Linked DNA regions of Ovis aries. The protein of the gene in region 2 interacts with the protein of the main gene of each other region in a pairwise test. Links are inferred from orthologs where the notes say so. Each region holds a gene or a part of one and is shown on either strand. Other genes may lie near its edges. The genes, in order: OTX1, RGS20 and PTPMT1.

Region 1 (4,348 bases), on a different chromosome or scaffold from region 2:
AACAACAGGATGGGGATCACGGAGGGCGCAGGTAGTTGCGTTTCTTCTCCTCTTCCTCCCACTCCTGGGCTCACAAGACCTGAAACCTCCATGAGGCTTGGTCCTTATAGTCCAGACAGTCAGGTGAGTTGAAGTTGAGTTTCCAAGCAGAGGATGCGGCGGCAGCGCCAGGCTCCTTGTAATCCAAGCAGTCGGCAGAGTTGAAGGCGAGCCCCGAGCCGCCGTAGCCCTGGTGGTGGTGGTGGTGGTGATGGTGGTGGTGGCCTGAGGACTGGCTCAGCGGGTGGTGTGCGTGGGGATGGTGGTGATGGTGGCTCGCCATGGAGGAGGGTGCCATAGGGCTGAGCTGGTGCGGGTGGTGGTGCGAGTGCATGGGCGCTAAATACGAGCTGCAGTCCACGCCGCCAAAGTAGGAGGAGGAGGGCGCGGGGTAGCCCTGGCCATAGCTGCCGCCCTGGCCGTAGGACATGGGATAGGAGGCTGCGGCCGAGGCAGCTCCTGCGGCTACCGAGCGCTGCATACACGATGCGTTGCTGGGTGCAGCCAAAGGCTCGGGCATCGACACTGAAGCCGGCGCTGAGCCGGGCGAGATGGAGGCCGGACTCCAGATGGAGGAAGCAGCAGGCGTACTCAACGATGACGGGACCGCCACCGCCGGGTTCCCGCCCAGGCCTGCAGCCGCTGCCGCCGCGGGGTTAGCTGAGGCGCTGGATGCGGAGCTGGAGGACGAGGCGGAACTGGAGACAGCAGGCGGCGTGAACTGGCCGCTGCTTTCGGAGCCCGAGCTCTCCCGCACCGGGGACGACTTTTTCTTTGCTGGGCGGCTCTTGGTCCCACTCCCGCTCTGCTGCTGCTGACGGCATTTGGCGCGGCGGTTCTTGAACCAGACCTGCGGCAGGCCGAGTGGGGAAGAGCGTGTGAGGGGGCGAGTAGAGTTTGCCATTCCCCTGCCTCTTGGACCAACTCCGGCCTAGCAACCCCATCCCTCTCCGATCGACGCCTCCACCCTTCCCCATCTCCGGCCCGGCCAGACCCTGCATTCGCTGCTCCACCCTCCCCCATCCTTCTGCTCAAAGACCCTCCTCTGGCAAAGTAGGGATGTGCACCTCCCCACCCCCACTCCCAGCTCAACTCTGTTGGAGGGCGGAACATTTGTGTCTGTCCAGCCAAAAGTTCAGCCATCTCTAAACTGCTGCTGTTGGCCGCTTCCCAACAGACCTGTGAATGCATGGAGGCCCTGTCTTATGTGAATAGAGCCCGGGAAACTGCAGCGAGGCACAGAGCAGGCCGCGGAATGGGGGGCAGCCACCAAATCTAAGCCGGAGCCACTCTGCCCCAAGGAGGCCTGGTGCTGGGCCGGCAGAGAATTTGGGTGGGAGCAGGAAGCTGAATTAGAGGGGGATTACGGAAGGAAGCCTGAACATAATTTCGTTGAACTTCTTGGCTCCAAGTGGGGAACCAAATAAGACAGTCATAAAGTTCTCACTCCTCTCGGAAGGCCCGGGTACAAGACATGGCATTCCTGTTCTCTCGAGCCTCTGGGAGGAAAAAGGCAAGATAAAAGGCCTTTGAGAAGAGTTCTGAGTTATGACCTGATCAATATTTTCGGGTCCCTTTCATCTGTCACACACACACACACCCAGAAACAGCAAAGCTAGTAGCCAGATTTTGCGTTCAGCATCCTCTCAGAGCAAAGAAAAAGGTCTAATCACACTGCCGCCACCCGTGGGGCACACTTCCAGACAGAGGACCAGGCTTTGGCCAAGCCCCACTCTTTCATTTCCAGGATTCCCGGGATGCAAGGCCAGGGCAGAGGCAGAATTCAAGACCCGGTAGGAAACTGCCAAGCCCTGGGGTGGCCGAAGAGGCAGGGGACAAGTGTCGGGCTTGGCCTCCTGCAATCCTAAAAGAGACTTCGGAGAGGCGCCCCGGGGCCAACGGCCCAATTCAGGGCTCTAAGATAGTTCCTTTAATTTTGGCCCCTCTGCCAGGCCCGGGCCCAGCGCTAGGGGGAGTCTGAGAGGGGCTGCCCAGCCTGTAAGCCCGCCCCCACACCAGACCACTTCCCAACCAGGCCCTCTCTAACCAGCCCCAGCACCCCTCCCCGGACCCTGGAAATCCCCCGCGCGCGCACCTGGACTCTGGACTCTGGCAGGTTGATCTTGAGCGCCACCTCCTCACGCATGAAGATGTCTGGGTAGCGAGTCTTGGCGAAGAGCGCCTCAAGCACGTCCAGTTGAGAGCGCGTGAAGGTGGTGCGCTCGCGTCGCTGCTTCCGCGGGGTGGCTGAAGGGAAACGCGGGGGAGCGTCGGGTCAGTGGTGGCCACGCGGACTCGCGCTAGAGGATTTGGACAGGACCTTGGCAGGCCCTGGACCAGGTCGTTGCAAAAGAAAGCCGAGCTCCGAACGAGAAAAGAACTCCCCAGGGAGGCGAGCCTGACAGGCCACAGGTGGGAGAAACTGCAGGTGTGCCTGATCGGCACACCGACACTCCTGATTGTCTCCGACACGCCAGGGCTGACCCCTTCCCTGCCTCTCAGAGGTTAAGAAAGGAAGAGAAGTTATACAATCTTTCTTCCTTCGCTGCCCGCCCCCTGCCCCCCCCCCCCGTCCCCCGCCCTGCCAACACTCTCCCTGACTGGAGGGTGGGGAAGGGGTGTGCTGGAACGTCCTGAAAAACACTTTCCGAGGTAATAAGCGGAGGTGAAGAAACGGAACCTAGACAAGAGAGCCAGGATTTGGCTCAAGTCGTCCACGTCAACAGTGCAGAAGTTGGTGCAGGCCACCCATCTAAAGGACAATTTAATTATGGAGGGAGACTCCCGCTGCCTTACCTCTGCCAGCCGCTTTGCATAAGGCAAGCTCGGCCTTTCCTGTCAGGGCCAAGCGAGTGTCCATATTCCTCGTTCAGTGTTGAGGGGGAAAGGCATAGATTCTTTCAATCTCTCTCTCTCACACACACCCCACCCATGGGAAACGAATCCGTGGGTAAATGCGCTCTGTGCTGGCGGTGGGATGACAACTGGAGAGAAGTTGCCGGTGTTGCCGGGCTGGAGGGCTTACTTCTCATGTCTTAGCCACCCCGGCCCTACTTCCCGACCACGATCTGTCCTCCGAGTCAGCGCTCCCTGCAATGTAAGAGACTAGGCAACCGGTTCCCTGGGCCTAATCTGGGACAAAATTTGTGCTCAAACCCAGAGCTGGTGATTCCCCAGAGTTCTAAGGGAGGAGGGTGTAGGGGTCGATGCTCACCCGGATAGCCCACGGAGGGGTGTAGGAGGTCCATGGCTGGCCCGGCTAGACCGAGCCCATTCATACCATATGGGGGTTGTTTGAGGTAAGACATCATGCTAACAGCTGGGTGGAGGCGCCCCGACGGATCCAGGGGGCCGGGGGCCAGGCGCAGTGCGGGGCTCCCACTGCGCAGTCCTTCAAGCTCTGTTGCGTCTGGGGGCCCGGCCTATGGAGACAAATGACACACCGAAACTGTCATTCCAAGCCACCACTGCTTCCTGGTCTTGCCGGAGGAAGGAGTCACAGGATGGGGAGGTGACGCAGGCTATGGATCTGTGCAGAACTCGGCTCTATAAGGCCTTAGCCCGAAGACCACAGATTCTTTGAAAAGTAAAATTTCTGGATCATTATCACTTCTTTTCGGGCTTGGAATGGGACAGACACTCGTAGGGCGACGCTAGGAGTGAGGAGAGGTTAAAATCGGGGGCAACCTTGGGAGGTCAGAGCCCAAAACGCAGAGTGCGCTAGGTCCCAAGACTAGGCAAAAATCTGTTCGGGTGGGAGAGGGCATCACACCACACAAGCAAACATCCCCTCGACCTCAAGGCAGCAGGAGACCCAGAGCATGAGGGGTTGTTTCGTTTTGTTTCAAATGTTTTTGAAAGTGGAACGGACAGGTAGACTCCAGAGAGCCAAGGTGAGGCACAGCGGAGGGCTCGCGGCACCTGGGCCTCTCCGGGACGCATTGCTCACTGAGTACATCCTTCCAGAGTCTCCGCGGCTGGGTCCCACAGCCGCTCTACCAGTTTACCTCTCTGTGCCTGGCCGCTGAGAGATTGCTTACCCGGAATCCCACCCACACTTCTACCACCGATTCGAGCCCAGGTCCGGCCGAGGCGACCAGAAGGCGCCACCGTACAGGTGGCGGTTCAAACACGCCGCCCGGGATCACCCGCACCTCGCCACAGCCGCAGGCCGTGCTTCCCCAGAGCAAGCCAGTCCTGGCTGCGGACAATGGGGTCCCGGCCGGGGTCGAAAGGTGACCTGACCAGCGCCCCAAGGGTCTGGCGGATTTGGGAAGCCTCAGTGCAATAGGTCTGGTGCGCTTCCGGA
Region 2 (5,959 bases):
AGCAGCAGCAGCAGCAGCAGCAGCAGCAGCAGCACTGTAGGCCACCGGGCTCCTCTGTCTGTGGCATTCTCCAGGCATGAATACTGGAGTGGGTAGCCATTCCCTTTTTTCGGGGATCTTCCCAACCCAGGGATTGAACCTGCATCTCCTGCATTGCAGGGGGATTCTTTACCACTGAGCCACCAGGGAAGATTCCCATAGTTTTGGTCTTAATGCCACACCACTGACCTGGCTTCTGTGAGCCAAAACTGAGCAGCAGGAGAACTCTTTACACCTTTCCAAGGACGACACCACACGCTTTGTTATGGTCCCCATAAAAGGAACACAATGTAGCTATGATCACTGAGAACTCAGAGTTCCTGGGTCCGGAGCCTGGGGAACCCTCCTCCTTCTGCTCACCTGGAATCACCTGCAGGCGGCCCTGAGGATTGCTCACCAAGGATGGAGGATGTAACCACAACAGACTTCCAGATGAGCCTTTCCTTAGGCAAGTTTATGAGCCTCTCAGTTGTTAATTATGACAGAATTCTTTTCACAGGGCCTTCACAAAGGGAAGAACCAACTCTGTCCTTGGGAAACTCGCTCTTTCACAACTGGAGGCAGGACAGGATAACTTTGTCTTCTGAATACATCGATATATATGTATATGGTGCTGGATATTGGAAGCCTAATTTCTTTCTTGCTGAGAGATTTTTCCTTTCTTCTTTCTGCTCCCTGCTTTTGCCATAAAAACTCCATTGTCTTGGTAGGTACCTTTGGGGGCCTTGGAGTTTCTCTCTCTCCTTTCAGTGTGTAATGTCTCACAGCAAGGGCTTTGATGGGCTTCTCAAGGGGTCATACACCTGGACCAGGAGAGCACCTAAAAGTCTGCACTCTCAGAGGGACAGCAATTAAAAGGACGTGAAAAATAATTTTATGTGGAAAATTTTCTGGTCTAAGCTCTGATCACTTTTATTACTGGGAAAGAATGCATACATGTGTATGCATCTATCTGTACTGACAGATGGATGGGTAGATAACTGCTCACCAGGGTGGCTGTAAAGTTTCCTCTCTCTCACTTTTATCACTAAAAAGAGCACCTGGTCCAGGGAGCACCCCCTCTCCCACTCGGTCTCTGTGCTCTGAATGGAAGGAAGCAGAAATCCTGGTGGAGAAAAAATAATCCCAATGAAGTCAAGTTCATAAGTGTGTGTCTGTCTGTGTGCCTGTGTAGGTGGAGAGATGTTAATTTATTTTGTAGTAAATTAGCAGTTTTGTTGGGTTCTTTGGGCAGAATGCACAGATAAATCACTACTGAGGAGGCTGGATTCCAGCCTGGGAAATTATAGCCTGCTTCTAAAGCACAGCCAGAATCTATTGACTTAGTAACGAAGTCAGTGTCAGAAAAAACATGGGTTTGAATCACCACTGAGCTGACTGCACACATGTAACAGTGTTTTTTACAAACATGCTTTCTCATCTCTAAAAAAGGTTTGACCACCTCAGCACTTCTGACCTAACGAAATTGGTTAAGAATCCAAATAAAAAAGAATAGCAAGAAGAACCACAATAGACAACGCATTTATGCAACACAAATGAATTGTTATTTTCAGTCTAACCTGCTTTTGGAAGGATTTTTTTTACACATTTAATTCTGAAATTATTATAGATTCACTGGAAGTTTCACAAAAGAATGTACACACAGTGGTCCCACACACTCTTCACACAGTTCCACCCAATGGAAACTGCATAAATTGTACAACATCAAAGCCAGGAGACACACTGGTATAATTCTAAGAGCTCATTCAGATTTCATAAGTTTGTATGCACCCGTGTGTGTATGTGTGTGTGTGGTGGAGGGGTTGCCATTTTCTTCTCCAGGGGATCTTCCTGACCCAGGAATGGAACCCACATCTTCTGCGCTGGCAGGTGAATTCTTTACCACTAAGTCACCTGGGAAGCCCGACAGGTGAGTATAGTTCTATGCAATTTTAACACATGAGAAGGTTTGTGTAACCACTGAAATCAAGTGTAGCTTCCTATTGAACCACTGAAATCAAGTACCTTCCTATTGAAAAAGCTTCCCAATGACTTAACAAACAAACAAACAACTTCTCCTTGTGCCAGTTGGTTAAAATAAGATTGGGGAGGAACTTCCTTGGTTGTCCAATGGTTAAAACTCCATGCTACCAAGGTTCCATTCCTGGTCTGGGAACTTAGACCCCATATGCTGCATGGTGCAGTCAAAAGATAAAACAAAAAAACTATGGGGAAAGGACAGATCTAGATAATTAGAATCTGCAAATACGTGATTATTATGAGGATATGAGCGAAGGCACAGGCACAGTTTCTAGTGCTGCAGAATCTGGACAGGTCTGCGGTTGTAGAATTTATCAGCATTTACTTCTGAGCTCTGATCATTGGTCACAGGCATTAACACATGTCCATCCCCCTCCATACTAAATAGCCTTTTAAGAGGTGTTTCTATTAATAGTTAAGAGGATCGACAGACTTAAACTGTACTTTCTGCAAAGATACACACAACGCTGAATAGGAAAATGGTTACTCTTCGGGGAAATCACATTGTCTACTGATAGAAATTCATGCTTAAGAAATTCATCTAGGCAACTATGACTTTAGGAAAAACACCCTTAGTTCCTAAATGGTCTTTCATGCCTGTATTAGTTTTACCAATTTTTTTTTCCCTCAAGCAATTTTGGTGGAAAGCAATCTATACTTTTTCATTGGTGGTGTTTTAGTCACTCAGTTGTGTTCAACTCTTGCAACCCCACGGACTATAGCCTGCCAGGCTCCTCTGTCGATGGGATTTTCCAGGCAAGAATACTGGAGTGGGTTGCGGGTTCTTTCTCCAGGGGATCTCCCCAACCCAGGGACTGAACCCGGATATCTTATATCTCCTGCATTGCAGGTGGATCCTTTACTGACTGAGCCACAAGGGAAGCCCATTTTTTTTCATTACTATATGGGATATAACTTTTATGTCAGAATATCTAAGCATTGATAGTAGCCATAGAAATCTATGGCTAGGTTTTCTGCTTTTTAAGACATTACTTCCTGAAACAAACAAAATGTAGTCATTTGCTGTTGTAAAGGGAAGCTGTTTATGTTGGAGAAAACTGGAAGAATCAGGTTATTATCAAAGTCCTAGTTTTTCTCTTGGGTTTAGTTTGGAAGCCTTTTTGATACATCTTCAATAAGGTAAAGTGAGCGCTGACACTAAAGCTTTCCTATGGTTTTGTATTCTTTCTGGATAAACCCTTTCCTTGCCAAGAACGGTCACGGACTGGGGAGATGGTCTTACCTTGACATTGTGCGTGGCTGTGGCACATCCTTCATTTTCCACGGTTTGGTGAACATTCACATTATATGGCTCAGCCCACGGCAGAGGCAGAAATCGTATCCTCCTCGATGGTCTGGAGAAATGTTTCTGGTGGCCCTGTTGGTTGTCTTGGGAAAGCCTGGGCATGTTTTTACAATAAAGCCTCAATCGAATCCTGTAGCTTGATTTTAACGGTACCAGCCCAGGGTCCACTCTATTTCTCTTCCTTTGGCTGGTGCTGGGCCATCGCTTCGTCTGCTGGGGGCCTCCCTGTAAAGTCGCATCCCTCGAAGCAAGAGGATTATCTGTGTTGTGGGTCAGCAGTTTATCCACAGTCCGTGGGCTCTATTCCAGGATGAGAGTCTCGGTATGTTCTGACTGCCCTCTACAGGTTGCAAGTGAAGTGAAAGTGAAGTTGCTCAGTTGTGTCAGACTCTTTGTGACCCCATGGACTGTAGCCTATCAGGCTCCTCAGCTCTACAGGTAGCAATGTACTCCTACTTCAAATTTAATGCTAAATCAAAACTGAAAGAAATGATTCAAGTGATATATTGCTTAGTATATCGTGATAAAGGAAATAAATCATGTGGTAATATTCTGCATTTGTAGTGTGTGATATGTGAAAAATTTGGACTATACTCTCGAGAGGCAGAGGAGCCATTTTATCTCAGTCTCGTAAAAGGTCCTTCTAGCAGCAGTCAGCTTTGTGGCTGGAAATGCTTGCTAAACTCATAACCACACTTCACTTCAAAGATTATTACTTTTTATTTATGTCTTGTAGAATTAATTGAGGACTTCCTTGGTGGCTCAGATGGTAAAGAATCCACCTGCAGTGCAGGAGACCTGGGTTTGATTTCTAGGTTGGGAAGATCCCCTGGAGGTGGTCATGGAAAACCACTCCACTGTTCTTTCTGGAGAATCCCCATGGACAGAGGAACCTAGTGGGCCACTGTCCATGGGGTCACAAAGAGTTGGACACGACTGAGTGACTAAGCACAGCACAGCACAGAATTAATTGAAGTAATTTCCTTGTGCGATAGTCATCTAACCATGAAGTCAAAACTTGGCTTCTACATCATACTTCCTTTTTGTAAAGTGCTTTATAAATATCAGATTATTGGACTTTCCCTGGTGGTCCAGTGGTTAAGTCTCTGCGCTTCCACTGCAGGGGGCCTGGGTTTGATCCTTGGTCAAAGGTATCTAAGGCCCAGGTGGCTTCTGCTGGGTCTGGAGGAGTACAGAGGTAAGGACCCCAGGTATGCATTGCTGGGGACTATGAACTGAAAGAACTTCCTTTCATAACATAGTCCCAGGCCCCTAAAATGGATATATAAAACTAACATAAGTTGGACCACACATCATGTTAAAAAATTAACTTGAAATCAATCATAGACCCAAGTTTAAGAGTTAAGATTATAAAACTTTTAAAAGGAAACTTAGGAGAAAATATTTGTGATCTCAGATGAGGCAAAGCCTTCTTAGACATGATACCAAAAAGCACAAGTGACAAAAAAAAACAAAACAAAACAGGCAAACTGGATTTCATCAAAATGAAAACCTTTTGTTTTTCAAAGGACATCATCAAAAGAGTGAAAAGACACCCACAAAATAGGGTAAAATATGGCAAATCATAAATACATAATAAGGGACTTATATCCAGAATATATAAAGAGCTCTTAAAAAAAAACTAGCAATGGGTGAATTATGTAAACAGATGTTTCTCAGAAGAAGACAGGCAAATGGCCAAAAAGCATATGAAAAGATGCTCAGCATCTTTGACTTCCAAGTCAAAATCACCAAGGAGATACCAGTAGGTAGGCTTTAATCAAAAAGACAGACAATGACAAGCTTTAGTGAGGATGTCAAGCACTGGCACCCTCACACACTGCTGGGGTGAATGTAAAGTGATACCTTCCCTTTGGAAAACAGGGTTATCATTCAATGTAGCAGTTCCCTTGTAGATATCCGCTGAAGCCAGAGAAGTGAAACATGTTTACCAAACACTTGCATGCAAGTGTCCAGTACTGTAAATCAACCCACATGCCCATCAACTAGTGGAAGATAGACAAAGGTATATCCGCACAATGGAACATTTATTCAGCTGTAAAAAGGAATGAAGTACTGATATGTATTGACACACGAATGAGCCCTGAACATATACGAAGTGAGAGAAGCCAATCTCTAAAGATCACGTATTGTATAATGCCCCTCCTAAGATATCCAGAATCGGCCACTCCTTAGATACATAAAGTAGAGGGGCGGCTGCCTAGGGCAGGGGGGTTTGGGGAGAGATGGAGAATGATGGCTAAAGAGTAAGAGGTTTCTCTTTGGGGCGATGAGAATGTTATAACACTGACTGCAGTGATGGTTGCCCAACTCTGAGAATACAGTAAAAATCTGACATTTGGGATCTATGTCTCAGCATATGCTTCATAACTGAGACTCGTTTTAAGAACGCCTGATTCACTGAATTGTCAAATCCAAGTGAAAGTTAACCGATTTCAAAGCTCTAAATTAACACTTTCGGAATGACGGTTACGATAAATGATCAATAAGCTTTGGCCCCGCTCTCCGCCTCTGGTGCCCCCAGCCCTGTCCCGGGGAGCGCCGGTGTCGGGGTGGGGAGAATCCCTGCTTGCC
Region 3 (5,783 bases), on a different chromosome or scaffold from region 2:
AATACTGGAGTGGGTTGACATGCCCTTCTCCACGGGATCTTCCCGACCCAGGGATCGAACCCAGGTCTCTTAATGTCTCCTGCATTGGCAGGTGGGTTCTTTACCACTAGCGCCAGCTGTGAAACCCAAGTACAATGTACAGAGTACAGTGCCTATACTCGGCAATAAAAAAGAGGCCACCACAGTGAGAAACGTGTGCACCTCGATGAAGAGGAGCCCCCACTCACAGCAACTAGAGAAAGCCTGCAGTCAGCAGCGAGGACCCAGTGCAACCAAAAGATAAAAATTTTAAAAATAATAAAGTAAAATAAAAATCAGATTGCTTTTAGAAACAAGGTGGGGCGGGGGGCACCAGTCCAGAAGGCCCTCTCCTACCTGAATGAGATACGCAGCCACCATAGTGGCACTCCTGGAACGCCCAGCCTTGCAGTGCACGTAGACAGACTGGCCCAGTGAGTGGTACTTGATGGCAAACTGGACTCCTTTCTGGAGGTTAGCCAGGGTTGGGACCCCAGTCATGTCGACCGTGCTGAGCCGCAACTGCTCCACTCCTGCCTTCTCCCACTCCTGGGGCCAGGTCCGCCAGCACAGAAAAGAAAATGAAAAACGCCTGATGTGAGTGGCAGGAAGAGGGACTCCTGTGAGACAGCAAAGCAGCAAGGAAGGTTCGTGGTGAATGGTAATATATGCGGTATATGCTTGCCTAAAAAGAAACTTCTTTCAGAAATGTCTTTAAAATGACTGACTTACATGGTCTTTCATCACACAGCAATGCTTCTGAGTTAGAATTATGCCCAAGCTTTAAAGCATTCTTAGTATTTGAATCTTTAGCAACAAAACACAAACTGTATAAAATTCATCTACAAGAGCTGCGTCAAGTTTTTTTTGCGTGACTTTGGCGCTTGTGCAGTGATCCAGCTGCAGGGTTAGGTTAGAAGGTTGCAAGGCCTTCTATTTCTCTGCCCATAAGTCTTCTCTTTTTTACCACTTTTTTGGAGAGGGGTATGTGGTAGAAAATAAGAGTTATTTTAAAATTTAAATAACGCACCTACTTTTGTTAGTGCAATATTACTGCTTAGAAGGAAGAAAAGAATCAACAGAAGAAATAAGGCCTCTGGCAAACTGGGCAACTTTTTAATTTTTTGCCATAAGACTTCAGGTAGACTTTTTGTTATTAATCTCTTCAGCAAATCAGACACATGACTCTGAATGAAGGTCAATACATTACACAGCTCACGAAATTAACCAAAAACAGCAAAATCTGGCAGTGTGTTTTTACACATCAATTACATCAAACACTTGGGGAGCCTGCTACTTAGTCACATTCTTAGGCAGTGATTTAAAGTTCCTGAGAGTTGAACCTAGGAATGTGCTGTCTTAACAGACAGCTGGATAATGCTTCCCTGGGGCTTCCCTGGGGCTCAGACAGTAATGAATCTGCTGCAATACAGGAGTCAGTCAGTTCAGTTCAGTCACTCAGTTGTGTCCGACTCTGCGACCCCATGGTCTGCAGCACGCCAGGATTCCCTGTCCATCATCAACTCCCAAACTTATGTCCATCGAGTCAGTGATGCCGACCAGCCATCTCACCCTCTGCGGCCCCTTCTCCTCCTGCCTTCAACCTTTCCCAGCATCAGGTCTTTTCCAATGAGTCAGTTCTTTGCATCAGGTGGCCATGCAGGAGACAGGGGTTCAATCCCCCAGTCAGGAAAATCCCCTGGAGAAGGGAACGGCAAACCACTCCAGTCTTCTTGCCTGGAGCATTCCATGGACAGAGGAGCCCGGTGGGCTACAGTCCATAGGACTGCAAAGAGTTGGGCATGACTGAGTGACTAACACCACTACTACTAGATAATGTTTAGCCGTATTAAAATATCAGAACCATTGCCTTGGAGATTTCTTTTCTCTAGGCTAGTGAGAGAAGATAGCAGATCTCGATGCCTCACACCCAGAGACCAAGCACTTTCTGTGGCTTGCTCCACAGGACCGACCACACTGAGGCTAACAATGCTTTTTGGCTAATAACTCCTGAGGTTCTGTGGGAAATCCAAGGAACTGCTATCTATTCTTTAAAAATGTATGCCATCACTGATCAATAGATTTTAAATGTGAGTCACAATTATTTTTTTAGATTTCAAAAAAGATCTATGGTTTGAAATAACTGCATGTTCATTAGGCTCTATCAGTACAGTGAACAGGGAAGATAATTGTGCAGTGCTAATAGAAGTCAAACACTAGAAAGACAGGGCAACACCTAATAACCATCATGGAGAGTTCCACCAAAAAACCACTCACATCTAACGAAAACTAGGTTTTAGGCTTGAACTGCATTTATCACCATGCTTTGGAGTTCCACTATCATCTCTAACATATAAATGAAATTCCCTCAAATAAAAACCAAATGAATTCTATGCAGTTTTTACAAAGAGTTTTATGATACAGTTATCAGGGATTGGGGGTAGCTTTCTTTTTTACAGTTTATAGGGCCTTCGTCTTGAATATCGAACAGTGTCCGATCCATACTTAGTGCTCATTAAGTGTTGAATGAATGAAAGCAAGGCAGAGAAAAGTTGCCTTTCTGGACTTCCCTCGTGGTCCGATGGTCAGGACTCTGCTCTTTCAACTGCTGGGGTCGCAGGTTTGATCCCTGATTGGGGAACTAATATTCCACAGGCTGCGAGGCGTAGCCCAAAGAGAAACGTTGCCTTTAAAGTTCTAGTTACTGATGTGAGTAACCAAAACCGAGAACACACGTGCGCAGAAAGGAGTAATCGAAGTTGGGCAACTCTACTGTGAAATACCTTTCACATCAATTTCTAATTCGCAAATTAGTTTCTACCCTCCTCTAGCCGCAGGACCAGCTCCTCAGAGGCAAAAAAAAAACAGAAAAAAAAAACAAGCCTGGGACGCTCGTGTCTGCGGCAAGGTCACCTACAGCACAGCCTCCCCCGAACCCCCTCCGGGCTCGCCCAGACCCCGGAGTGGTAGAGGGGTGGCGGGCGGGGCGCCGGGCCCGGAGCCTCACCTTGGAGGAGTTGCACAGAAACCTCGTCTCATACTCCTCGTTCATGGTGATCACCCCGCGCACGTTCTCGTCCTGGACCAGCTGCCGAGGCAAAGAGAGGGCTCAGAAAGGGGCGGGCGGCCGAGGCCCGGGCGGCGCTCGCCGGGCTCGCAGGCCCCGCCGCGGCCCGGCCCGGCCCCGCCCGGCTCACCCGGCGCGTCATGCTCCGCAGCGGCAGCGCGCCCAGCAGCACGGTGGAATCGATGCGGTGGTACCAGTCGCGGTGCGCCCGGCCGGGCATCTTCCCGCGGAACAGCGTGTAGAGCAGCGTCGGGTAGTAGAGCACCCGGGCCAGGCCGGCCTCCAGCAACGAGCCGGCCGCCATCCCGGCCCAGCCGGCGCGGCGCAGCGGCGACCCGCCCACCGCCGGGCAGGAGGCGGGCGTCCGCGGGCCGGGCCAGGGGGGCGGCGGGGCGGCCGCGGCCCCCAGCGAGGACCACCCGGCCGGCGCGGGCCTCTCGAGCGTCGCGACCTCGGGCCCGGCCCCCGGGGACTCGCCGGGGGCCCCGGGGACCCACACCATGGCTCGGGAGGAGGGGCCGCCGGCCGCCGTGGGGAGGGGCCCGGGCTTCCCGGGCGGGAAACGGGGCCCCGGGCCGGGGGAGGGCCCGTCCCGCGGACCCGAGGCGGCGAGTCTGCCGCGTGTGGGAAACTGCGACCCCGGCCCGTGGCTAGTGAGCCCCCGCCTCCCGAGGGAGGGGCTGTGACTCCAGCGGGCGGGTGCAACTGTGACCCCGGCCGGTGAGCCCGGGGCACCTTCGCCAACCACCGGCCAGAGCGAGGGGACGCTGACCCCACCGAAGGGCGGGACAGGACCGGGAAGAGGCTCTCGGCCAGGGAGTCCAGAGCTCAGAGCCGAAGGGATAGTAAGGAGAGGGGCCTGATCCTGGACAAACAGGGGACCTGGGTTCGTCCGGCCCTTCCCACCCCATCCCCACATCTGCCTGGAGTCCTGGCTCCCGCCTCCTAACTAAACTGCAGTAAGTATGTGTGTGTGTGTACATAGTGAAAAATAGATATCAGTTGAGTTCAGTCGCTCAGTTGTGTTCGACTCTTTGCGACCCCATGGACTCCAGCCCGCCAGGCCTCCCTGTCCACCCCCAACTCCCCAGAGTTTACTCAAACTCATGTCCATTGGGCCGGTGATGCCATCCAACCATCTCATCCTCTGTCATCCCCTTCTCCTCCTACCTTCAATCATTCCCAGCATCAGGGTCTTTTCAAATGAAAAATAGATATAAGTGATATCTGTTCTATTTATGAAGATATATTAATATTAAAAATATCATCATAGGTAGTTTTCTGGCGATCTAGTGGTTAAGACTGTGCCCTCAGTGCAAGCAGCACCAGTTCCATCCCTGTCAGGGAAATAAGATCCCACAGCCTTGCAGAGGCTAGACCAAAAATTAAATAAAGGTTTAAAATATATATATATTATGATAAACATAAAACCTACAACCTGCAAATAAGCAAGAGGAATAGTTGTCACACTGATTATTTACAGTTAAATAGCACTCTGAAAAAGTACATCTTGTGCTTTTTTTTCTCTTGCTCAATCATGTCCCACTCTTTGTGACCCGTGGACTGTAGCCCTCCTCCGTCCATGGCATTCTCCAGGCAAGAATACTGGAGTGGGTTGCCATTTCCTTCTCCACATCTTGTGCTTTTTAAAACAGCTTTTCTCCTTGTACAAATGACACATATGAATAACGACCGGAACATACAGGAAAGCAGAATTTAATCACCCATAATCCTACCACCTCAAGCACATTTTTTTCTTTTCATGTGTTATCATTAAATTTTTTATAATAGTTTTATTGAGATATAATTCACATACCATACAACTTATTCATTTAAAGTGTACAGTTCAATGGCTTGTAGTATATTTGCAGAGTTGTACAACCATCACCACCATCAATTGTAGAATACTTTCATCATCCCCCAAAGAAACTCTACACCAATTAGCATAATCACGCCCTGTTTTCCCTCAACCCGCCAGGTCTTGGCACTCATGAGTTTACTTTCTGTTTCTGTATACAAGTTTTTCTGCGGTCTTAAGTTCTCAATTTTTTGGATGCCTATCCAGGCATGGGATTTTGGAGTCGTATAATAGTGCCGTGTGATTTATGTACACCATTTAAAAAATCACTGGTGTCGTTTTGGTAAAATTTTTGCCACCATGTTTGTTGTCTCGTTCCTTTGATTTGGCTGCTGCCATGGGGTGTGTGGGACCTGATTTCCTTGACCAGAGATGGAGCCCATGCCTCACTGCTGCCATGGGGTGTGTGGGACCTGATTTCCTTGACCAGAGATGGAGCCCACACCTCACTGCAGCGGAAGCCTGGAGTCAAGCCCTGGGCCGCCAAGGAAGTCCCCATGAGCACTTTCAATATTACCACATTATTTTTATCATTTATAACGAACCTAGTTACTGTACCATAATGTGATCATTCTATTCTTAGACATGCAGGATATTTCCACATTTGTATTATAAAATATTTTCAACATGGAATTTTTTCTATTTTTTATATTTAGAACTACTATATTAGGATACGTTCCTAAAAGTGGAATTACTGTGTCAAAAGATAGTTTACAAGTTTTGCTCTATATAAAGTATATAAACCTTAAAAGTTTCATCCTTACCCCCAAACCCACTCTTCAGAAATACTGATTTTTTACATGCATATCTTTTTCTAACATTTTGTGATGAAACTTTTCA

What was found.
Region 1: the proteins of RGS20 (region 2) and OTX1 interact in binary tests that used the Homo sapiens proteins (3 or more experiments, as listed by UniProt). The two-hybrid records come from large-scale screens. The link is inferred for Ovis aries from reciprocal best matches to the Homo sapiens genes RGS20 and OTX1.
Region 3: the proteins of RGS20 (region 2) and PTPMT1 interact in binary tests that used the Homo sapiens proteins (3 or more experiments, as listed by UniProt). The two-hybrid records come from large-scale screens. The link is inferred for Ovis aries from reciprocal best matches to the Homo sapiens genes RGS20 and PTPMT1.

Annotation. Positions count from the first base shown.
Region 1 is NC_056056.1:45,197,991-45,202,338, forward strand, and holds part of OTX1 (homeobox protein OTX1), read right to left. Parts: intron 3,462-4,348; 5' UTR 3,351-3,461; coding exon 3,254-3,350; intron 2,287-3,253; coding exon 2,135-2,286; intron 1,539-2,134; exon of another isoform or gene 944-1,538; coding exon of another isoform or gene 890-943; coding exon 71-889; 3' UTR 1-70. UniProt on the Homo sapiens protein: Probably plays a role in the development of the brain and the sense organs. Can bind to the BCD target sequence (BTS): 5'-TCTAATCCC-3'.
Region 2 is NC_056062.1:34,889,933-34,895,891, reverse strand, and holds the start of RGS20 (regulator of G-protein signaling 20), read right to left. Parts: upstream 3,541-5,959; 5' UTR 3,467-3,540; coding exon 3,294-3,466; intron 1-3,293. UniProt on the Homo sapiens protein: Inhibits signal transduction by increasing the GTPase activity of G protein alpha subunits thereby driving them into their inactive GDP-bound form.
Region 3 is NC_056068.1:76,296,271-76,302,053, reverse strand, and holds the start of PTPMT1 (phosphatidylglycerophosphatase and protein-tyrosine phosphatase 1), read right to left. Parts: upstream 3,609-5,783; 5' UTR 3,588-3,608; coding exon 3,216-3,587; intron 3,107-3,215; coding exon 3,026-3,106; intron 568-3,025; coding exon 376-567; intron 1-375. UniProt on the Homo sapiens protein: Lipid phosphatase which dephosphorylates phosphatidylglycerophosphate (PGP) to phosphatidylglycerol (PG).